Linked DNA regions of Saccharomyces cerevisiae S288C. The gene in region 2 interacts genetically with the main gene of each other region. Each region holds a gene or a part of one and is shown on either strand. Other genes may lie near its edges. The genes, in order: MOT3, SET3, SIF2 and TCP1.

What was found.
Region 1: mutations in SET3 (region 2) and MOT3 together harm fitness more than expected from each alone (negative genetic interaction), as found in Saccharomyces cerevisiae (3 studies listed by BioGRID).
Region 3: mutations in SET3 (region 2) and SIF2 together harm fitness less than expected from each alone (positive genetic interaction), as found in Saccharomyces cerevisiae (3 studies listed by BioGRID, with this or other methods).
Region 4: mutations in SET3 (region 2) and TCP1 together harm fitness more than expected from each alone (negative genetic interaction), as found in Saccharomyces cerevisiae (3 studies listed by BioGRID, with this or other methods).

The regions. Positions count from the first base shown.
Region 1 is NC_001145.3:405,016-411,436, reverse strand, and holds MOT3 (Mot3p), read right to left. Parts: upstream 2,284-6,421; coding exon 811-2,283; downstream 1-810. Other genes in the region: TVP18 (Tvp18p), read left to right, coding at 172-675; NAT4 (N-terminal L-serine N(alpha)-acetyltransferase NatD), read right to left, coding at 2,871-3,728; AVO2 (Avo2p), read right to left, coding at 3,853-5,133; UBX4 (Ubx4p), read left to right, coding at 5,864-6,421. UniProt on the Saccharomyces cerevisiae protein: Transcription factor that affects the expression of a large set of genes. Recognizes and binds to the consensus sequence 5'-[CAT]AGG[TC]A-3' in the promoter region. Plays a major role in the repression of a specific subset of hypoxic genes (e.g.
Region 2 is NC_001143.9:494,456-501,489, reverse strand, and holds SET3 (histone-binding protein SET3), read left to right. Parts: upstream 1-1,656; coding exon 1,657-3,912; downstream 3,913-7,034. Other genes in the region: SPO14 (phospholipase D), read left to right, coding at 1-146; GMH1 (Gmh1p), read right to left, coding at 387-1,208; SAP190 (Sap190p), read right to left, coding at 4,132-7,034.
Region 3 is NC_001134.8:446,031-450,520, forward strand, and holds SIF2 (Sif2p), read left to right. Parts: upstream 1-1,678; coding exon 1,679-3,286; downstream 3,287-4,490. Other genes in the region: exocyst subunit EXO84, read right to left, coding at 1-1,293; YMC2 (organic acid transporter), read left to right, coding at 3,637-4,490. UniProt on the Saccharomyces cerevisiae protein: Antagonizes telomeric silencing in yeast. May recruit SIR4 to non-telomeric sites or repression.
Region 4 is NC_001136.10:883,960-890,600, reverse strand, and holds TCP1 (chaperonin-containing T-complex alpha subunit TCP1), read right to left. Parts: upstream 3,370-6,641; coding exon 1,690-3,369; downstream 1-1,689. Other genes in the region: UPC2 (Upc2p), read right to left, coding at 1-850; GCD6 (translation initiation factor eIF2B catalytic subunit epsilon), read right to left, coding at 3,736-5,874. UniProt on the Saccharomyces cerevisiae protein: Molecular chaperone; assists the folding of proteins upon ATP hydrolysis. Known to play a role, in vitro, in the folding of actin and tubulin. In yeast may play a role in mitotic spindle formation.

The DNA.
Region 1 (6,421 bases), on a different chromosome or scaffold from region 2:
GTAGGGTAAAGGAGGAAAGTCTGTGGCTCGTAAAAAAGGCAAAAGAAAAAAAAAAAAGAAAAAAGGTGCTATATCAGCGAAGTAAAGATCCAGAATTCCCCTACTAGTGAAGTGGGATTGTAGGTCACCAGGAGAAGAGCAATAACAACTAAAATATACTAGTTTTCAATAATGGCTTTAAGTTTAGGACAGTTCATCAATGTGGGTGGTATGGTGAAGGATTTGAAAAGTTTCAACTTTAGCGTATATGGTAGATGGTTTGGATATATCAACATAATCTTGTGTATTGCACTCGGGATAGCGAATCTGTTCCACGTTAGTGGGGTGATAGCTTTTGGTATCATTAGTATAATCCAAGGGTTAGTGATCCTATTCATTGAAATACCATTTTTGTTGAAAATCTGTCCCCTTAGCGATAATTTCATTGAATTCATCAAGAGATTTGAAACAAATGGATGGAGATGTCTTTTCTATCTAGCAATGGCGATAATCCAGTATATTTCCATTGCAGTGATGGCTACGAGTCTAATTGTGGTAGCTGTCGGGCTAACGATATCGTCAATCAGTTATGCGGTAGCATATACTAAACACCAAGAGTTCCAGAATACGAACATTATCAAAAATCCTACAGATGACGATTTCCCTCACGAGGCCGTTGTTAGAGAGATGTTGTAATCAGTTCCGTACCATACATAAACTATATGTATATAATGTATATATGCATAATTACTTTCTAAATTTGTGATTATTACTATTATCTTGATTGTTAAATGAGTGGGAAGGGATATTTTGTGTGTCTATAAAGTCTATCTATTTGTTGTGACTAACAATAAGGTTATTCAAAACACGTTTAACGTCGTCCTTATTCAGTACACCATCATTGATTAAAGTCTTGATGTTTGTATCGTAACCGTTTCCATCTTCATTTTCGGGAGCTGTTGCTGCTGCCGCCGCGGCACCGGCACCGCCACTGCCGCTAGCGCTATTGCTGTTATTATTATTATTATTGTCGTTGTTATTATTAGAGGAGGAAGAATTGTTGTAGTTAAAGATGATGTTGTTTTTCTTGAGTTCGTCTAATAAATAATTTGTATGCTTGAGTTTCATATGCTGTAAAAGATTATCTTTTCTCTTCTGCCTGCTTAAGCACCAAGGGCATAGAAAATGTCTTTGTTGCGAGTGTGACAATAGGTGCCTTTTCAACCATGATTTTCTTTTGAAAGACTTCTCACAAAATTGGCATTGATGGATATATTTATGGTCTGATGATGGGGCAGGAACCAAGTTCGAGGCCACAGGGTTCGAAGAAGGCACCGGCGCAGGGGGATGGTTAGGTGCTGTCGTAGGACGTGGTTGCGGCATAGTGTTTATTTTCCAACCAGGAGGTAGATGCAGAGGTTGTGCCGGGTTAATATTGAGATTCAAATTTGGAGAAGGGTTTTGTTGTAGTTGGAATTGAAATTGATCCGTTATTATCGTTGGATGGTGCTGAGGAGCGTTGTTTGTATTTACAGCACCACCATTGTTGAGGTTGTTGTGTGTATTACTATGATGGTGATGGTGATGGGGTGGACCGGGGGCCGGGGCTGGGGCTGAGTGAGAAGAGTTGTTGCTGCCATTGTTAGCGGCGTTATTACCATTGTTATTGCTGTTAACTGCTGAATAGTAATGGCTTATGTATGAAGCAGGATTGAACATATATTGTTGATCCTGTTGCGGTATTGGCATATTCGCAGTGGGGAAGGAGTAATAAGCAGCCGCTGCAGCATTTGAGTTCATATTTGCGGCCGCAGTAAACTGGTTTGGGTGAATATTATTGTTATTATTGTTGTTATTATTATTATTATTGTTATTATTGCTAGTACTGTTGTTTGCGACAGTGTAATCAGAAGCAGAAATATTGCTGTTGTTGCTGTTGTTGCTGTTGTTATGGACAATCGGCGACGCAGACATATTGTTACCAGCCGTCACATTATTGTTGTTACTGTTATTACTTGTATACTGATAGTAAGGGTATATATACTGCTGCTGATGTAAGGGCATTGGAAGTTCTCTTGCCCCAGAGTTCACCATAACGTCGTCCTTGTTAGAGGAAACAGTAGTCGTGTTGAAAGGCTGTGACGCCAGCGAATCGCTGCCGATATTGTTAGTGTTCGACACATTTTGTAATATCGTGTGCTGCTGCTGTTGATGCTGATGCTGATGCTGTTGTTGTTGATGCTGTTGTTGTTGATGCTGTTGTCGCTGTTGCTGCTGCTGTTGCAGGTGATGGTCCGCATTCATTGCTCAAATATGATATGTCCCTTTACTATTTGCCTACTGTTGCCTATTAGTTTTCCTTCTGTTAAATCTTTTCTTGTACCTGTTCCTTCTTGAGGAATTGTTTTGTTCAAGTTTTCTTCCAAAAAAAATTCCTTTTTTTTCTTTTTTTTTTTGATTGCTACAAGGCCTTAATTCCTATTATTTGTTTCTATTTTTTCTCTCTTTTTTCGTAATTCTTCTTTAACTTTACATCAAAAGAGAGACAAAGTTTAGTAAATCCAGACGGAGTAGTAGTATAAATACTATCCAGCGCAGATCATGACAGGATGATGCGCCTTGGTAGGATAAAAAAAAACAACAGCGGAGGCTACAGCACATCTTTTGAGGAAAAAAAAGAAGAAAATCAAGAAGAAAAACGAAAAAACCGGCAATAAACACCGTTATCGCCACTACTCCTTGCCGTGCGCAGTTATCGGAAGGCGCCGAAGGCGGAGAGCAGGGAGCGTTGTTCGGGTCTCCTCAGTCGGAGTCAAGGATTCGAGTCGCGCCGCCGCGTACGTAGTTTTACTTTTAATTTTTTTTTTATCGCGCGTTGTCCCTGTCGGCTTTCACGGCATGTGAAGGCAATATACGTAATAAAGCGGATCGCAGGGCACGACTACACGTCCCCCACCATGTCGCGTGTGACGAATTGTGGGTGATGCTGGTGCGGGTGATCCCGGAGCGCGGTAGAACCCAAGCGCCTCATATAGTCGCCGGGCCCGAGTGTTATCACTGAATACGGTGAGTGCTACACCGAAGAAATTGTCGCACATGCGGCGGGTGTGTCGAGCTACGCCATCGCACAGTGCATGCTCCAGTAGCCGCCGACCGATTCCATGCCCGCGGTGCGCGCTAGCTACATGTACTTCGTAAAGGTATATCACGGGCACGCTAACCTCGTGTAAAGCGTCACCTTCGACGAGACCCGTCTCCTCTGTAAGCATGAATGAAGTAAATGCACCTAGCACGCCGTTGTCCCAGTAACAGACATACACAAGGCCGGCGCTTTTCATCTCTGCGAGTTTGTTTGCCTTCCATGGTTTCCTGTTGCCGTACATAATGCGCGAGGCCCGGCGATACTTGGCGCCCAGGTGCTTGTCTATCAATTGCACACAGGCGTCCAGCACTTGGTCGCCGCGAGATTTGTGCAGCTTGTAGTTTATACACTTGAGGCTGTCAACGCTGTCAATACTGTCAGTGTCATCTTCGGGGATGTAGATAATCTCCCTTTCTAAAATAGCGGTGGTGAAGTTACCGTTTCCATCTGTATCCTTGTGCTCGATGGATTCAGGAAATTTTTCCACGCATAAGTTTAAGAAATGTTGGAACATTGGCGCCATGGCGACCCTCCTTCTTTCTGTTAGGTGCTCCTTCGATGTTCGTATACAGTTGTAAGTGTTCTCACTATATACCGAAGAACGCATCTCAGTGGAAAGAAAAAGAAAAAAGAAAAAGAGCTAAGAAAAAAATCTTTTAATGGCGCGCGCGCACCGCGCATACATATGTGGAAAAAAGGATGCATATAAAAAAAAATACGTAGTAGTCTTCTCAATCTTCTGCACGCGTGTTATTGCTATTTCTTAATTTTGAGATGGGTATGTTCAGAAGTGACACTCGTCTCCTCGGCTCGCCATTGTTTACCTTAATCTTGTACTTGTTCTCGTTCTCATCGTCCGGGTCCTTTCTTAGTCCCATTCCTATAGTGGCATCACCGCCATTGCCGCCGCCACCGTCATCGTTGATTGTAGCTGTCTGTGAGTCTCCTCTCACGTTGTCATTGCTCTTGTTAGGCAACAAGTATCTATTAATCAACGCGATGTTGTTGTGCGGACTTGTTGGTGTTGCACTGTGTCGTACTGATTCAGATACAAGCTCTTTCTTGGGCGACACACCTACTGGAGTCTTGACGTTGATGGAGTTCACTCTTAGTCTCGAGCTGGAATTTGAGCTTGACGAAAAACTGTCCGTAGACAAGGTTGGTTTTCGTGGGTTGAATACTGGATTTGTGATAGAACTCCTCCGATTCCCACCGTTACCGCTTGTTGTATGCGTTGATATCCTTCTTGGTAATACCGGCAACGGACTATTATTGGAATAGAGCGAATATGGCGAATTCATGCTTAAAACTGGGGAAGGCCCGTCCTCGAAAGTGGCCTTCGCATTTAGTATAGGAGTTCTGAATGAACTTGGTTTTTTGCCTGCACCCAACGGTGGCCCCTTCTTTTTCACCTCTTTTAACACTTTTGAATATATATTACCTACTTCAAACGTTTGTGCTACATCTATTGGCTTCCAATTTCCCTTGTCCCTGACATTATCATCCAAGGACACCTCACCTTCATTGAGAAGCATCTTCATACAACTTATACTGCCATACTCCAGGCATACATGCAGCGGCGTGTCGCCATTAGTGTCCATTACCCATAAATCAGCACCAACTCCTATCAACAGACTCAGACATTGGTAGTAATCGTTCATACATGCTATATGGATGGGGGCTCTACCATTCTCTCCGCGATGGTTGATAAATCGCGGAAATTGTTGCAAAAGTAAATGTAAGGTTTGCTCGTGCCCTTTCATTAATGCTAAATGCACACAGGTGTTTCCTTTAAAGGTTTTTATTAGTTCATGCTTGTCGTGCCCCAGCTGAATTAAATACACGCATATAAGGTATCTTCCATGGTATGAGGCGTAATGTAATGAACTCCATCCGTTCTCTGAGTCTATGTTGGTTAGCAAATCCGGATTCCGTCGCAATAATCTTTTCACTATAAGTAAATTGCCTTCAATAATAGCCTCCCGCAAGCGAACTGAGGGCTCTTTCAACATCTTTTGTTCAATATATCCTCTTTTCTAATGGGCGTTTTTTTTTTTTATTTTTAGGGTCCAGTTGATTTATACATTTTCAATTGTACCAGATCAAAAAAGTCTAGAGGAAAAAAACGTAATTAAGACAGAAGAAAAAAAGTATCAACTCCGGAATAACCGGGCCGCAAGAGAAATCAAACAATTAGTTGCACGAACATTTTTATCAGGAATAAGCAGGTAAGGGTAGGTATAAAGGTCAGCTCAGTACACGTATATCGTGTGAGTTATCTTTATTAAAATAATGATTCCAGAATAAGCGATGAGAGAGTAACGCTATTGGAATATGATATGGGAAATATCTTGAAACAATTTCAATAATTTGTCCATGTTTATGCAGTGTTGTACAAGCGTTTTTAAAGAAACTGTATAATATTCAAGATAGCGGGCGCCTCAACCGCTGTTTTGCTCCTCTTTTCTCTTGGAACTCTTGCCAAGAAAGATGTACGCCTTATAAAACGCTAGATGCTATTTCTTGCAACTTTATTACAAAATTTCAGCACTATTTCTTGCAATCCTAGATGTTTCCCTGTCTTCTATCTTCGATGTTAATTTAGACGTTTCTTCAAAGATTCAAGTTCTCTTTTATTGTACTATGTGTGGCAAAAAAAAAAGAAAACCAAAAAATGCAAAAACTAAGATAAATCTACGTACTGCGAAGAATAGCAAGGCAGACTAATAAGCGCACAATACAATGCCTATGGTTACCGTGAAGTATAACTTCCAACTTTTCAAATGTAAAGTTTCGTTGAATTCAACACTAAACGATGTGTTACACCAATCCATACAATTCTTTCAACTGCACACCTCGTCAAACGACTGGTCATTGATACATTTGGATAAACCGGTGCCATTAGATTTGCCATGGAGGCTTCTAAACTTACCAACGGGTGTCAACTTAGAATTATCTAAAAGTAGTAATTTTCCGGTGGCGAATAAGACCAACCGCGAAGATATTCCATTCAATACGATCAAAATACGGTTTCAAATCCCAGGAAGAGATTCCGTGGTTAAAGAAATGCCATCTGACCAACCAATTGCCCCTATCTTGCGACAGATGAGCGGCGCTGCGGGAGATGATTTTAAGATCCAGGTCTTTTCCAAGATAATAGAGTTCAAAACAATTAAGGATGAGAATTTGACTCTCGAAAATTTAGGGATTCAGGAGCCTTCGTCAGTTAGATTGATTTTTAATAATACATCTCATTCTGAGGGCATTAGCGCTAATAGCGCTATTCACCCAAAACAAACT
Region 2 (7,034 bases):
TTGACAAACATACGGCGCAGAGAATCTTGGAAAGGATCCACGGTCATTTGGTCATTTTCCCAACCGAATGGTTAGCTAAAGAAGTTGAGAGTAGAAATTGGATTTTTAACTCGGATAGACTTTCTCCAATGGAAATCTACAATTAAGGGAATATAAAAACGACCAGGAACACACCATTACCTGTATTTTCCTTTTATCTGTTATAAGCATTCGACGCTGATACATAAACAGTTTTCATTATGCATTCTTTTGGTCCATAGTGTCATTATTGCTCTTATTACTCATTGCATTTTTATACTTCAAATATATATAATAATAATATCATTATGTAATTTATGTGCTTTATCTTAAAGAACCAAATTTTTTCTATTTCCGTGTTCAATTGCTTAATAATTGTAAAAGCTTAATTTCTTGGATAAGTCGATGCCAAATAAACTGATTAAATAGATTATCGATAATCCTAATGTTGGTAAAAGTATAAAGTTCAAATTTTTCAAGAATGGCAACTGGTTGTATCCATAAAAGGTTAAAATAAAGTAATGGCCAATAGCAAAACAATATAACGAATTACCAATGAGTAAGGAAATCCAGTTTTGTAAATTAATTATGGGCAGTAGTAAAAACTGAATGAAGTATAGGCACAGTAGGATGATTAAAAATGAATTACAATGAACGTCGAAACAATAAGCCCACTCTACCACACTATTTTGGCTCGATTTGAATTTAAAATGTGACCTATTCAACAAAAGGTAAAAAATAGTTGCCATAATAAATCCAAATATGAAAAAATCTAAAATCACCATCATTACCAAACTTTTGAAAAAATGACCTATAATGCTCAAGGCCCCCATATCACTGTCGTTGTTGAAACCTGAATTATAAATCGACCAAATAATAGAACTGAGTGAAATTAAGGCTATTTGGAAGATGAAAAAGGAAGGATCATCTCTCGCCCACTGATTTTTCGTCTGTCGCTGATAATATATTGATCTATAAGCTTTTCTTGGATGGAAAATCAAATGGAACATTTCCCAGCTGGCTGTCTCGAGATCTAAATTCTTTGGCGTTTTGAAAAGCCTCCTGATTACCATCGGCACAGATTGCTGACCGTAGCCTTGTCTTGCATCGTTTTCATTACCATTATTACGCCTCCTCTGGCCTTGCGGGCCTGCTGGCAAGTCGTTGGAATAAGTCGGCAAATATGACATTGATAAATCCGTTGACTAAGTAGTGGCAATCGAAAAATTATAGTGCAAATCTGTTTCTTTCTGGCTTTTTGCAGTTATTTCAACAAAATTTAAACCTGTTAAGTTTAATATTCTAGTAAGGTCTATTGGTAATTATTTAACCGTTGGAAGTGATCGTTGTATGAAATTATCATTCTAGATTACAGGTAGTCGATACCTTTTATTATAATACTTTTATAGCATGGTATATTATTCGTAAAAAAACATTAAAGACATGAAACTAGTCCTTTGTTTCCCTGGAAATTGTTCAACCAACTCATTCATCTTACTATGTCATGATAGATGCATATCATTATCAACGACATGCTATATACAGAAAGTAGTAATAAAGGACCTTTCTAGTAAACATGATTTAAAGCGTATATACAACAGTTTTAGATCGTACTTCACAAAATACGAGAACTGAATCATGTCAGTACCTAATTCCAAAGAGCAGTCGCTCCTAGATGATGCATCCACATTGTTATTGTTTTCAAAAGGGAAAAAAAGAGCTGAAGAAGCTTCAAAAATAGGCTCTAAAACAGATACTATTGAGCATGATGAGTCTCATGAGAGAGAAAAAAAAGGAGCAATAGAAATGGCAGCAGCAGCACTGGCTACAGCATCCACAGTTTCTTTACCTTTAAAGAAAGCTACTGAGCAATCGGCGGCAGAAGCAGCAACATCCACGGCAGCAAAAGAAGAGACCGAAAATCAACCTCAAAAGCAACCTCAATGGCCGGTACCTGATTCGTATATAGTCGATCCTGACGCGGGTATAATTACATGTATATGTGATTTAAATGATGATGATGGATTCACTATCCAATGTGACCACTGCAACAGATGGCAGCATGCTATTTGCTATGGCATCAAAGATATTGGGATGGCACCTGATGATTACCTTTGCAACTCATGTGATCCAAGAGAGGTAGACATTAACTTGGCTAGGAAAATACAGCAGGAACGCATAAACGTAAAAACAGTAGAACCTTCTTCATCAAACAATAGTGCTAGTAATAAGAATAACGGTCGGGACAGAGCATCGAGTACAACTATTAGTGACGTTGGCGATAGCTTTTCAACGGATCAGGACAATACTAACCACAGGGACAAAAGAAGGAAAAGAAACCCATCAAATAATAGTATAGACTCCAAAAACGAAAGCGCTTCTGTCAATTCTTCCGATGGATTGACTTCTATGCCCAAGAAAAAAGAGCATTTCCTGAGTGCAAAAGACGCATATGGTGCAATATACTTGCCCTTGAAAGACAATGTGTTTAAAAGTGATCTGATCGAACCGTTCTTAAATAAACATATGGATGATAATTGGGTCATACAATATCCTCATAAGACCTTTAAATCTGTGTCAATTGAAGTCAAACCGTATGCTGACATTGCATATTCCAGGACTTACCCAGGCTTCACGAAATTAGGAGTTTATCTCAAAAAGGACTGCATAAAAGGTGATTTCATTCAAGAAATTTTAGGCGAATTGGACTTCTATAAAAATTATCTCACTGACCCACGAAACCATTACAGGATATGGGGTACAGCTAAAAGAAGGGTCATTTTCCATTCCCATTGGCCGATATATATAGATGCACGCTTATCAGGCAATTCAACTAGGTATTTGAGAAGAAGTTGCCAGCCGAATGTTGAATTAGTAACTATAAAACTGCAAGATACAGACAATAGGAATGACAAAAGCAGTGGAAGAAAATCAAGTAGAATAAAATTTGTTTTAAGAGCTTTGAGAGATATTTCAGAGGATGAGGAGTTATACATCAAATGGCAGTGGGATTCAAAACATCCTATATTAAAATTAATAAAGGGCATGACAATAGACTCTTTAGATGACCTTGAAAGGTATGGGCTGATAAATTCGGTAGAAACAATTTTGAGTAACGGCGAATGCGGCTGTGGAAATAATTCTAAAGATTGTTATTTATTGAAAGTGAAGAGATACGCGCAAAGTCTTTATAAATCTGTGAAATCCAGAGGAAAAATGAACAACAGATATAAATTAAATGAAATTCTCAACCAATATAATTGCAAAAAGAGACGTGAGCCACCAATTTTGCATAGGCTAGAAGAAAAGGCTCAAAATACTATAGAAAGAGCTCCAATACTTTTGAATAATTTTTATCGACAAAAATTCCTTAATCGAAATAATGGTCCAAAAATTCCTCAAAAGAATACTATTGATAGTACAAATAATCCTGATGATATTGCAAAACCCTTCAAATTCGCCTTATTTGCACAACATTCTTCTAATATTTCTGTTCCCAAAAAAAATGAAACTTCAGAAAAACCTTTAATAATTACGAAGAGCACAGATTATGACGAATCACACATTACCAATATTGAAGAATTACCAATTCCAGTTCTTTTACCAATAAACAAGACGTCAAGGCAAACTGCAAACGATGTCGAAGAGAGTCAATCAAAGAATGAACATAAATTAAGTAGAACCCCTTCTCTTTCAAATTTCAATAAAGAACTGTCAAAGGAAGCACAACACAGTCAAGCAAAAACAAAAGAAATCATGACAGAAGCTTCGGTTAATTCAAGGCGAGAATCCACTCCAGAAAGTATAATGCACTTATCAGATTTTTCGTCCTCACAACTGCATTCGAAAAAGAAATTAAGCTTTGCGGATTACAGAAAAAAACTACTGAAATAAACATGGACATTTCCTTCTTACACCTATATAAACTTAAGTATATTCAAAAGTGAATATTCATTATTCTTTATAAGATTATATTCGGTTAATATTAAATTACAAGCCTCAATTAAAAAAGTATATATTTGATGAATTATAAATGACCTATATGCGAAAAAAGTGGAGCAATAAAAAATTGATGAATAAAGGGTGAAAATGTGACAATGTGAATGTTTTAGTTCAGAAAGCTTCTTTACTTCTTGACCTATATAATGAGTAGCCCTCCTCATTGCCCATATCATTCTCTTCATCTTCATCTTCGGAGTCTTCTTCATCGCTTGATATCTCGTTATCCATTCGATCATCAACACTGGTGCCTAGTGCCACTTCTTCGTCTTCGCCATTATTATCCAATGCGGATAAAGAATTGAAAAGAATAGTCTTCGGTCTTGGTGGTGTTTTCGGGGTAGTATACAATGGATTACCAGGTCTGGCATATGACTGGCCATCATCATTAGGATCCATATAGTCATCGTCATCGCCAACACCTTCAAAGTCAAACTGATGGTGAAAAATATTCTGGTCTTGCAGTTTAGGATCTGAAGGTTGTGACCTACTAGGAAAATGGTCTGGAGGGAACAATGAAGTACCCGATGTCCATTTGTCACTCCCGTTTTCATCATTGTCCTCATTATAGAGACTATTGCCATCCCTATGTTCAGATATTTTATCGGTAAACTCTGATTCGGCACTTTTGGATTTACCATCATCACTATCATAATCATCGTCGTTAGTCTCGACGTTATTATAGTAATTTTTATTATCCACATCACTATACTCTGCGTAATCTTCTTCATTTTCTTCATTCTCGTTATTATTGAAGTTATAATATAAATCCATGTTCCCAGAATCATGCCCGTTACTAAGAAGTTCATCGTTTTCTCCATTTCCGTAGTTTTCGTTGCCCTCTGTATCACCAATTATATCCTCAGAATCAGAATTCCTAATAACATCGTCATCGCTTTCTTGGTCATTGCCAAAATCTCCCAAAACGGTGTTATACTTCTCTCTTGTATCAGCCAAGATCGTTTCACTATATTCTTTCCAAAATGGTTCCTCAAGTCGATCTGAAACAGCGGTATTGCAAAAAGTTAGCTTCATTTCATCAATATACTCTTTGAACTTCGATATTTCTTCGGCAACTAATGTCAAATGACCCATATAACCATAACGTAAACCGGTCTTTTTTTCATAGTCTTGACATGCCTTATCCGCATCTACTATCTTTTTAGTTAGGTATGCATCAACCAAATAATCTTTCAAGAGGAACCTATTATAACCAGTTTTGAGGGGACCATTGAATATTTGCTGGGCAATATCAAAAATTACATTATGCAAAAAATTATTCCAAGGGAACTCAGTGAACATATCAAGGATACTAATCAGTATCTTAGTGTCTTCTAGAGCAATCTTCAGCCTGTCTCCAACTAGCGGTTTTTCCCTTAGGCATTCTCTCACGGATTCTGTGTCAGACAAGGTTTCATCATACAACTCTACTCCAGAAGCATCATTTTCTAGCCCCTCAACTACCTTTGCGTCTGATTTCACATCTAGTTTTACACTTGATACCCCAGTATCATTTAATTCATCTTCTTCACTTCCTTGATTATTTATTTGAAGAGCGCCTAAATTTTCTGTGATATCCTTCTCTACGCAATCCTTATCATAATATGATGATTTATTGTCCACAATAGCTGTTATATTTTCCTTTTCGGTTGAAGTTTCTAATTCTTTGGCCCTTTCTATATCACGTTCTTGGGCAATCATCTCACCATTGGGCTCATTTAGCAGCGTCATATTAGAACAGTGCAATAGTTCTGCAATAAGTTCACAGATTTTAAACCTCTCAAATCCCAGAGGTTCAATATTACCGAATGGCATTTCCATTAGTGGCAACTTGGTTTTATCCAGCATATCAGCAAAATCAGGCATATGCTTAGCAAAAAGTTTGACTAAATGTATCAAGTGAATTGGATCTCGATCAGTGGGAGGGTGACTTTCTAGGGTAGTGTAGACTAGTTGGATGAAATCATAATCTGAGTTATTCTTCCTGATCAACTCTATGATAATTCCAACACCATTACTTAAGGATGTACCGCCCTTTAGCATTATCTTAATCAACTTTTCTATCATTTCTTCTGATACTAATTGCCTTGTCAATTCATTAGGACCTATTCCCGAAGCAAGTTCATTGCTTGAGTTAGTGCTTAACGTGACGAATGCCTTAATAAAATCGCCTGCCGCAGACTGAGTGGAAATACCGTATTCTGGATTAAGATGATCTAAAAGTTTAGGTATTAATTCCTGTGATTTTAGTATCTTTATGACACCCGTGGGAGAGTCAGGTTTATCCGTCGAGATAACTTTCAAAAGGAAGTCCATCAAAGACGGATTGTCAACATGTGTCAAGAACCTTGCAACCAAGCTGTCTCGGCTTAATATAAACTCTAACATCCCCGTTATATCCATATCGAGAAGTCTTTCATTTATTTTCATGAAGTAGGTGGAAGCTGGTATCGGTAAGGGAGCTGGGTGATCTAGTATCGACCACAATCTACCAAGAAGATCCTTATTTTGCATTATTGCTGCGGATATAGGCCATACATCAGCCGATAAAATTTCAGCAGCTATCCTTGCCCTTCTAGTCTCCACTTGTTCCTCAGATTCCGGTGGCAAAGTAATGCTTGTCTCTTCAGAATCAACACTTCTTTCGTCCCCAGAGTCATGATCGCTATCATTTGTAGTTTCTTCTGAGTCGCCTCCTTCTTCAGCGTCCTCCTTTTTATCCTTTCTGTCTCTTTCTATCAAAATAGGATGATCGTTTACACCTTCAATAATCTCTGGCTTTTTAGCGCTATCTGTTTCTTCGTCGAGAATCTTCTCGTTGGTAACATATTCTATCAATTTTGATAAAACATCAGGATACTTCAAGAATATTAGTAGCTTGAAATTTGAACACATTAATTCCGTATACAGTTCGTCATCATCCAGCAAATCGTCTAAGACGTCCAAATTAGGTCTATAATTTTCATATTCCGATTCTGTAGTGGGCAGAGTATTTTCTTCTTCCTTCTCTTCGTTCT
Region 3 (4,490 bases), on a different chromosome or scaffold from region 2:
GTCTGCGTCTCTACATTCATACAAACTTGAATTCGAATTGCTAAACTTGAAAAGTAGCCTCTTAGTGGAAAATTCCTCTTGCGTGACAGTGACATCCTTTAAAGGATAGCACTGGCTTACTATAAAGTCATTTTGCTTATCTCTTGATTTATCGGCGATAAGTACCAAATCATTCAAAATGAAAATCTGTACCATCTGCAAGGGTTTACCAGTGGTAGTATTTAATTCCATCCAATTGGCACTATTCATTAAAATATGTCTTCCTTTCGTAGAATTGATAAACTTCTGAGCACCTTCAACGTTCTTAAACAGCTGATCCAGTTCCGTATCCCAAAATTTCTCTAATATCAAGACGCTCGATCTGTCCCTCCTCATGAGATTCCCATTTTGTCCTGCTTTCAAAGGCGGAAGTAACGCTGGACTATTAGAATGACTTTCAACATTGTTAAAATTGCCTTGTCTCTCTTGATCTATTTGATCCTGCAATTGTAACCTTTTTTCAGCTATTTTGGTGCACTGATCCAAAACCTCGTTTAAATCATTTATATTTGCTCTAACCCTTTTAAGCTCCAACATAGCAACATTTAGGTCGTTGTTTACCGTCATGATTTCGTTATATGATTTATTGATATTTAACTTTACTTCTTCTTGGACCTGTATCGATAAATCTGTTAAATTTGAGGTAAATTTATCAATAGTAATGGCACTCGCATTGCCTAGTTTATCATGAACAAAATCTTTAGCATTAAAATGCGGGTTTGCCAACATCTTTCTTAGCGACGTGCTATTATTGAAAGGATCATTACTGCCGGAAGGATTGACAGTATTTCGCATTGCTGATCTAGCAGGCACCTTATTATAGGAGCTGTCGTTCAGGGAGAGATCGGCAGTTGAAAGATTTAAACTGTTGGAAGGGCCTTTAGAGCTTACCGATTCGTTCTCAGTGGTGAAACTACTATTATTATGACTACTATCCACATTATCATTGGGAACTATCATGTTTGGCATATCAGGTAGGGGCATTGAGTAATCTAGTGTAGGTGGAGCATAATTTGTATTATGAATTGATAGTCTTCTCTGCATTGAAGTTGCTACCCTACTTCTCTCCCTTGCATTGATTGTTGGTAGCGTATAACTGGTAGCCGGATCCTTGAGATCACTATAAGGGTTCTTTTTTGTTTTTTGTTTAGGCTTAGCAGGCGATGGAGGTGTCTTTTGCTTAGCAGGAGAGCTTGCAGACTTCTTTACATGCTTCCAATTGTTTCTGGCCTTCTTCAAAGAAAACTCAACCATTTTCACAGTACAAATATTTCAACTTTCAGTCTCTTACCTGGTCTAATATGAAGGCTTTTTGTTCATTCGGCTTTGCTCAAGGTCTTACAAATATACTATTAACTGCAGTCTCTAGTCTCTTTTTCCAGTCATCTATTTTCATGGAGCGGAACTTAGCAAACGAGAAATAAACAAAAATGATTAGGAATGTATTCATGTTGAAAAGGTTATGAGATATGCAAGACCATTCGTTTTGATTTGCAATTAGTGAGAACAATTTAAACACCTTGGTGCGAAATTGAAGGTTTTTTTTTCCAAAGAAGTGTACAGCCCACACTAACAACTGCTAACTCAGATAAAAATAACAGAAACAAAAAAAAGGTAGGGAAGGCCCATCACACGGAAAATGAGTATAACAAGTGAAGAACTAAACTACTTGATATGGAGGTATTGTCAAGAGATGGGACACGAGGTGAGTGCATTAGCATTGCAGGATGAAACAAGAGTATTGGAATTTGATGAGAAGTATAAAGAACACATTCCTTTGGGTACACTGGTGAATCTAGTACAAAGGGGAATCTTGTATACAGAAAGTGAGTTAATGGTTGATAGTAAAGGTGATATCAGCGCTTTAAATGAACATCATCTTTCTGAAGATTTCAATTTGGTTCAGGCGCTGCAAATAGATAAAGAAAAATTTCCTGAGATCTCTTCTGAAGGAAGGTTCACTTTGGAAACCAATTCCGAGAGTAATAAAGCAGGTGAAGATGGCGCTAGTACTGTTGAAAGAGAAACCCAAGAGGACGATACTAATTCTATTGACAGTAGTGATGACCTAGACGGATTTGTCAAAATACTGAAGGAGATAGTAAAATTAGATAATATTGTTTCCTCCACTTGGAATCCATTGGATGAATCTATACTCGCATACGGTGAAAAAAATTCTGTTGCAAGACTAGCGAGGATAGTAGAAACCGATCAAGAAGGGAAAAAATACTGGAAACTCACGATAATAGCGGAGTTGAGACATCCTTTTGCTCTGAGTGCAAGTAGTGGTAAAACGACGAATCAAGTCACATGTCTTGCTTGGTCACACGATGGTAATTCAATTGTCACGGGTGTAGAAAATGGTGAGCTAAGACTATGGAATAAGACGGGGGCACTTCTGAATGTTTTAAATTTTCATAGAGCACCTATAGTATCCGTTAAATGGAACAAAGATGGAACACATATCATATCCATGGACGTGGAAAATGTCACTATACTCTGGAATGTTATAAGCGGGACCGTCATGCAGCACTTTGAATTAAAAGAAACCGGTGGCTCATCCATCAACGCAGAGAACCATAGTGGCGATGGTTCACTTGGGGTTGACGTTGAATGGGTAGACGATGACAAATTTGTCATTCCTGGCCCTAAAGGTGCTATATTTGTATACCAAATTACAGAAAAAACGCCCACTGGTAAACTTATTGGACACCATGGACCTATCAGCGTTTTGGAGTTCAATGACACCAATAAACTTCTACTTAGTGCCTCAGACGATGGTACTCTAAGAATATGGCATGGCGGTAACGGCAATTCTCAGAATTGCTTCTACGGACACTCACAAAGCATAGTATCGGCATCATGGGTCGGTGATGATAAGGTAATATCCTGCTCGATGGATGGCTCCGTTCGCCTATGGTCGCTGAAGCAGAATACGCTATTGGCTCTATCAATCGTGGATGGTGTCCCAATTTTTGCTGGAAGAATATCACAAGATGGACAGAAGTACGCAGTTGCTTTCATGGATGGGCAGGTAAACGTCTACGATTTAAAAAAACTGAACAGCAAGTCACGAAGTCTTTATGGTAACCGTGATGGGATTTTGAATCCATTACCAATTCCCCTCTACGCTAGCTACCAAAGCAGCCAAGACAATGATTATATATTTGATCTGTCATGGAACTGTGCGGGAAACAAGATTTCTGTAGCATACTCGCTTCAAGAAGGTTCAGTTGTAGCCATATAATAACTAGGTACAGTACATAAACAGATGAATTTTATCATTCTTATTGTTATTTCTTTGTTTACAAAAGGTGAAAAGTGAAAAATTTCGCAATGGAAAACGTCGCGGGCCGCCTTTGAGTGACGTTGTGCAGGAATCTCGAAGAGTCATCACTTTGAAGATAACGGCCGCTCGCGATGAGAGAAGACAATGAGCATTGCTTTTTTATAATTTTTTATACCTTGTGTTAAAATAAGTTTCTTTAATTAGTTTTCACCTCTTGGATGATACAACTGTAATTGATAAATAGGGGTAGCCATAAAGAACAGAAAAAAGCGGCGCAATAATTTCGTGTATTACAATTACAGTTAGTCATGAGTGAAGAATTTCCTACGCCGCAGCTTTTGGATGAATTGGAAGATCAACAGAAAGTTACCACGCCGAATGAGAAGAGAGAGTTAAGTTCTAATCGTGTGTTGAAGGATATTTTTGCGGGTACCATCGGTGGTATTGCACAAGTTCTTGTAGGGCAACCGTTTGATACAACAAAAGTTAGGCTTCAAACAGCCACCACAAGAACAACAACGTTGGAGGTATTGCGTAACTTGGTAAAGAATGAGGGTGTGTTTGCATTCTACAAAGGTGCGTTAACACCGTTATTGGGTGTTGGTATATGTGTCTCAGTACAATTTGGTGTGAATGAGGCGATGAAAAGATTTTTCCAAAATTACAACGCTTCTAAGAACCCGAATATGAGCTCACAGGACGTAGATCTTTCACGTTCAAATACTCTGCCACTATCCCAGTACTACGTTTGTGGGTTGACAGGTGGTGTAGTCAATTCATTCTTGGCATCGCCCATTGAACAAATAAGAATTCGTTTGCAGACGCAAACATCTAATGGTGGAGACAGAGAATTCAAAGGTCCTTGGGACTGTATTAAAAAATTGAAAGCTCAAGGTGGATTGATGAGGGGTTTATTTCCCACAATGATAAGAGCCGGACATGGGCTTGGTACATATTTTCTTGTCTACGAAGCATTGGTTGCCAGAGAAATTGGTACGGGACTAACAAGAAACGAAATTCCTCCTTGGAAATTATGCTTATTTGGTGCATTTTCCGGGACAATGTTGTGGTTGACAGTATACCCATTGGACGTTGTGAAATCCATTATACAAAACGATGATTTACGAAAACCTAAATACAAGAATTCCATTTCTTACGTAGC
Region 4 (6,641 bases), on a different chromosome or scaffold from region 2:
CGGAAGGAATCCTGTTACATAGTAACATCCCGCTTAGACTATTTGATAAGCTCATTCCCGTGGATTGCAATGCAGGACTACCCGCAAGATCGAATGAACCATATCTCTCGTTTGGAGTTCCACTTGCTTGCTGCGCTTGGGTCTGTGGTTGAGATTGCTGCTGCACTTGCTGCTGTTGCTGAAGTTGGAACGCACCCATATTTCCAGAAGGCAATGGCGGTAATAGTAAGCCATCGATACCTGAATTCAATCTTTCAGGAGAACCAAAACCAATAGTGCCATTTTGAGAGAAAAAGTTATTCATCATATCTTTCTTATTGATGGTACCCTGGAGGCCCATACTTAGAGGAGTCATATTGTTTTTGTCCTCTATAGGGGCCGATGACTTTTCCTCGCTCTCACTCTTAGTTGTAGAGGCGCTTGATGGAAAGGAATCATTGGATGAGCCTGAAGCTTTTACCGCTGATTGGATATCATTGAACGGTGTCTGCTCCTTCTTGATCGTAGGAGGTAAATCTACCGATGAATCAGACTCCACGCTACCGTCTGCCTTTCTCGTGACATACTTCACTACTGTTGCTCCTCTACCTTTCCTTAAATGGATTGGTGTATACTGACATTCCAACTTCATATTTGTGCACTTCCTACAGGCTGGCTTCCCTTCATCACACTTAACTCTTCTTCTTTTACAGTTATCGCACCCATTCTTTGATTTGTTATGGAATTTACGTTTACCGGTTGAAGTCGTACTCACCTTTTTGCCGTCCACTTCAATTAGCTCGATGACTTTTTCTCTTCTTCTGGGTTTTGTCACCGCTTTCTTGTGATTCTGTATACCGACTTCGCTCATACTGCTGAACTGTAAATATTTGTACTTAACTTTTTTTGATTCACTATTTCTGGAAAGCTCAATTTTGTTTTAGTGTTGGATAAATGAGAAAAGATAGTTCCTACAACTTCAAAAAGTTAATGTATGTAAAAAATCGCTGTTTAGAGGAACAGTCAGCACTATCGCACCCTGAAAGCAATATCAATCTTTGACAAAAGAAGTGTCTACTTTCTATGCCGCGACTTTCCAAGTAACTTGTATTTGCTGATCCTGCCAGGGCGGCGCATATATAGATTTCGACAAGCACATTCACTGAAGACAATAGAATAATATTCGTTGGGCGAAAATTTGACGCGATCCCGCTAAGGTGCGCTCGTTTAGAGAAAAAAATAGCTTGGAAAAAACCTTATTTAGCTGCCACATTTAGACAGAATAACACAGCCACTATGGGAGATATTCACCCTGGGGATCATGTTTAGAAACAGGCTTAGCAGTAAGCGCAATTGAATTCATGGAATACACTCCGCATTCTTTTTTATTGCCGCCTTACTAAAATGTAACGCTAGCGTTAAGCTTTTTTCCTTTAACAGGGTTCCTGCTCGTTTACGAACAAACACAATAGTTTGTAGGGACCCGCTTCTGCATTTGGACAAGAAAAACAACTCAACGAAGTCCTAATAGGTACGCGTTATTACGTATTAGTCCACCTCGCACGTGAAAAGCTGGGAAGCGCTTATCAACTGCCCAGAGTTAGCGATCAAATTCAAAAATAGAACTAGCTGAAAAAAATATAATTAAATTTTATATAGGTTTATTAGTTTACATGCAGATACAGAATCTCGTTCGGATTACGCAAAGAATCAATGATCGTGCGGATCTTCTTTGGGTGGTTCTGGATCCACTGTAATCATTGTATCAATTCTTAGAATTGCTACACAAGCCTCCAATGCTGATTTCAAGGATTTGACTTTGCTTATGGTTGGCTCAAGAACACCAGCGTGAATCTCGTCCACAATTTTACCTCTAATCAAATCTAGGCCGTAATTTCTGTAGCTTCTCCTCTTAACGTCCTCTGGCTTGGCCATTTGACTAGCGGCATGGTAGGACCTTAATTTTGCAACTAATTCACTAGAATCCTTGGCAGCGTTAACAGCTAAAGTTTTTGGAATGATTAATAATGCAGCTGCAAACTCAGCAATAGCTAACTGTTCACGAGAACCAACTGTGGTGGCAAAATTGTCCAAATAGATATTCAATGCGGCTTCAACGCAACCTCCACCGGGGACAACATTTCCACTTTCAAGCGTTCTTTTGACAACAGAAAGAGAATCGTGCAAAGAACGTTCCATCTCATCTAAAGAATAATCGTTGGCACCTCTTAAAATGATCGAAGAAGATGAATGTTTAGAAGTACCCTTAATTAAGATACACTCATCATCAGAAAATTTGGCTTGAACTACTTCATCACAAAGACCTAAATAACTGCTTTCGAAAGTTTCCTCACCTTCTAAGTTAGACATAGAACTAACCAAAGTGGCGCCTGTAGCGCGTGCAATTCTTCTCAAATCTTCCTTCTTACAGCGTCTTACACCCATTATCTTAGCTTCAACGAACTCCTTTAAGCATAAATCATCAATACCTTTGGTGGTTAACACAACTTGAGCACCAGCATCAATGATCTTCTTCACTCTTTCCAAAACAATACCAGCTTCACGTTTACGGATTTGCTCCAATTGTTCCGGATCATCAATGTTGATTTGAACACCCATTGCCATACGAGCTTTCTGCAAGTTCAAATCCAAACATGCGATTTTCACATTGCCACCGGCGATACGTTTAGGCATTGCTTGAGAAGCAACTGTACAATTCAAAGCATAACCTGGCACCAACAGTGATTCAGTGGCAGATTTACCATGAGCTTTCAACACATTGACAGCCTTTACGGGATACTTGATTTCTCCTTTGGAATTTTGCGTCTTAACAGCCAAAAGAGCATCTACAACCATATTGCTGAAAAAATCAGAGTCAGCACCAATGATCTTAGAGGACATACTAGTCTTGGCTATATTAATTAACGTCTCTTTCCCTAAAGTGTCAACACTTGTGGAAAGAACTTCATTTATAAAACGAATAGCCTCTCTTAATGCAACCCTGAAACCAGTTATGATGGTAGTTGGATGAATCTTATTTTTGACTAATTCATTAGCTCTTTTCAACAACTCAGAAGCAATAATAACAACACTAGTAGTACCGTCACCAATTTCTCTGTCCTGTTGTTGAGCCAATTCTACTAAAATTTTTCCAGCTGGATGTTGAACATCTAACAAAGACAAAATAGTGGCACCATCGTTGGTGACGGTAAAATCACCAATGTCATCAACAAGCATTTTGTCCAGTCCAACGGGGCCTAAAGATGACTTGACGACGTTAGCCACAGCCATAGTAGCCAAAACATTCTGATTACGAATATCATCACCACTTATTTTTTCACCTCCTAGGAAAAGGGTATCTGAGCGCGAGTTATTGAATAATTGGGACATCGCTAAGTTATTACAAATATAAAAGTCTTCTGTCTATTGTTATTGTCCCTTTCTTGTACTCTCTCAGTGGCCTCTCTTTTGCTTAAGTTATTTACTCTTCATGTGATACCACCGCATTTCAATTTTTTTTTTTTTCAGTTCTTTGCCACTTAGGACAAGGTCCCTCGGCAAGTGAAAAAAAAAAATCTGAGATTATTATTTCAGTAGTACTACTGAGGATAAAAACTAATATGATAAAAAATATATATATATTTGCTTTTTGCTTCTGTAACATGTAAATTACTAAATCTATATAGCGCTCACCTTTTTCTCATATTAAAGCCTTTTTATGGTAATACATGATTATGCAGGGTACTGCGTGGACTTTTATTCCTCTTCTGAGGAAGATTCTTCGTCAGCATTCTGTAACCACTCAACCCACTTTACAGTTAATTTCTTGACTTCATCATAGCGAGGGTCAGTAGAAACATTATCCCACCATTTATAAATGACATCCTCCTCAATTATGTCATTATCGTATAGAGAAACCAATGCACTAAATAGAATCAAATCCGGTTTGTCAAAACTCTGTTCTACAATTTTTTCCATTATGATGTTCATCAAATCAATATACTCTTCTTCATCAAAGGCTTGTCTCTTGAACAACAGTCCCCACTGATTAAAAACCTTCACCACAGCGTCCTTGGGACCTAATGTTTGAGTTGCAATAAAGTGGTAAACTCTTCTCAATAATGCAGTTATTGTTGCTATTCTCACCTCATGATATGTCACGTTCATACTCATTCTCAAGGTGTTCAATTCTAATAATGCTGTGTCAAGATCATGATTGTTTTCCATAGCACGCTCCACGGTGGCAATACCTTCTTTCTCAAAATCTTCGTCCTCAAATTCAGAATCAATTTCTTCTCTATCCGTGTATATACTATTGACAGACATCGTTCTTCTTTTCTTTGTCTTTTTAGTGGCGGAAGAAATTGAATCGTCACTTAAGTATAACTCATCTAATTGGTTACTCAAAGTGTTTATTTCTTTGCAGGCTTCTGTAGAACTATCTTCATCGTCAGACACCTCGCTTTCGTAAATATAACCAACACCCTTATCTCCAACAATAGAAACGGCTAGTGTCTGATCATCAAGGTCTTGGTCAAACTGCTCATTGCTTTCATTATCATACATTCTTGAGCCGGCATTTTTTAATGGACTGGCAGATATTTTTGTGTTTCTATCTAAATCCATATTATCATCAATTTTAACGTTGAAACCAATTATACAGCCATCATTTAGGCGTACATTACTCCCTAACGTGGCATTAGAGGCAATTAATGAATGGTCAATTATACTGTTATTTCCGATGATACAGTCATCCCAAATGAAACTGTTCTTGATTCTAATATTTTCACCGATTTGGCAGTTCCTTCCAATCACGGAATTCTCAATTTTCGTACCCTCTCCGATTTTTGTTCCTGATCCAATTGCAGTGCACTTACCAATTTTACAGGATTGGGCCAAAACAACGTCTTTTTCCTTGTATATATGTCTTGATTCATAAGAATACGTTTGATCGTCCTGTATGTTAGAGTCTAAGACCAAGGGATAACACCATCTACCTAAAAAGTCTTGAGAAATGGTGTCGTAAGTTTGCCAACTTTCAACTCTTACAGCATATTCGTCCGTCAAATAGGCATATATATGCTTTCCCAATATATCGCTTGAAATGACACCTTTAACAAAGTCTGTCCTTAATGATTGGTAGTCAAAATTTTCTTGAAATATCAAAGGTACATGAGATGTACAAATGTCAATTCTACAATCGATGAGGTCATTCCTTATGACAAATTCATCGACATTATCCAACAATTCTGGGTCAATCTGAATGGAAGTCTTCTCTCTAGAGCTTGGTAATGGTAAATCTTGGTAATAAATACACCTACTGGTGGATTTGTCTAAGACAAATGCGGCAGGCTCAATAGTTCTTGTTTTTGGATAGGTACTCGCTTTGCTCAAACACATTGTCGAGATGTGATCTTTATCTTGCAAATGCATTTTTTTGTGAAATTCTAGCATTTTGCTGAAATCGATGTTAGTCAATACATCACCACTGACTAAAATAAAATCTCCAGTAATGATACCTCTATTATCTAGATCTCTCATAACATCACCCGTACATCTAGCTTCTGGAGACATAATGGTGGTAATTTTAAATGGAGACCAAGGCAAGTTCCACTTAGAATTCTCAATATAGTCATTAATTTGGTTGGCATGAGAAGAGCAAATTAAGAAAACTTCATGTACGCCAGCCTTAGCCAAAAATTCTAAGGTGTATTCAATGAGAGGTACGTTAGCCAGTGGCAGCAAACACCTTGGCTTGACAGCTGTCAGTGGCATAAACCTAGTTTCATAAGAGTCTGTCAAGACAACGGCCTGGAGACGATCTTCAACATCCATATCAGAGTTCTTTCCATGGTTGCCTAGTCCACTTTTCTTTTGTCCCTTTTTTCCAGCCATCTTTTGCCTTATGAGTGGTTTCTATTCTATTTTTAACACAAGACCACTTTTAGTTATTTTTATACTTATCCCACAAGGTGGTCCATCTGCCATCTTTGAATTGGTGATTTAACTCTTCGCATTAATCTACTGAAAAAAAAAAAAAAAAAAAAAAGAACTGAAAACCATCTAAAGTCAAATAAGCTCATGTAATACGGGCATGTTGCAAACGCGTGTGAAAAAAAAAGAGAAAGTGCTCGAGGTGGGGTTTGAACCCACGACGGTCGCGTTGCTTTTAAAGGCCTGTTTGAAAGGTCTTTGGCACAGAAACTTCGGAAACCGAATGTTGCTATAAGCACGAAGCTCTAACCACTGAGCTACACGAGCATTTTCGAAAGAGACGTAAATAACATTGTTATTTATACTGGAATTAGTACTAATAATTTTATTAAAAAAAAAAATAGCTCTTTCTGAGAATTCTTTGAATTTTGGGAAAATTGTCGGGATATTAGTGTTAAAGAGGCCATTGTTGGAATAAAAATCAACTATCATCTACTAACTAGTATTTACGTTACTAGTATATTATCATATACGGTGTTAGAAGATGACGCAAATGATGAGAAATAGTCATCTAAATTAGTGGAAGCTGAAACGCAAGGATTGATAATGTAATAGGATCAATGAATATTAACATATAAAACGATGATAATAATATTTATAGAATTGTGTAGAATTGCAGATTCCCTTTTATGGATTCCTAAATCCTCGAGGAGAACTTCTAGTATATT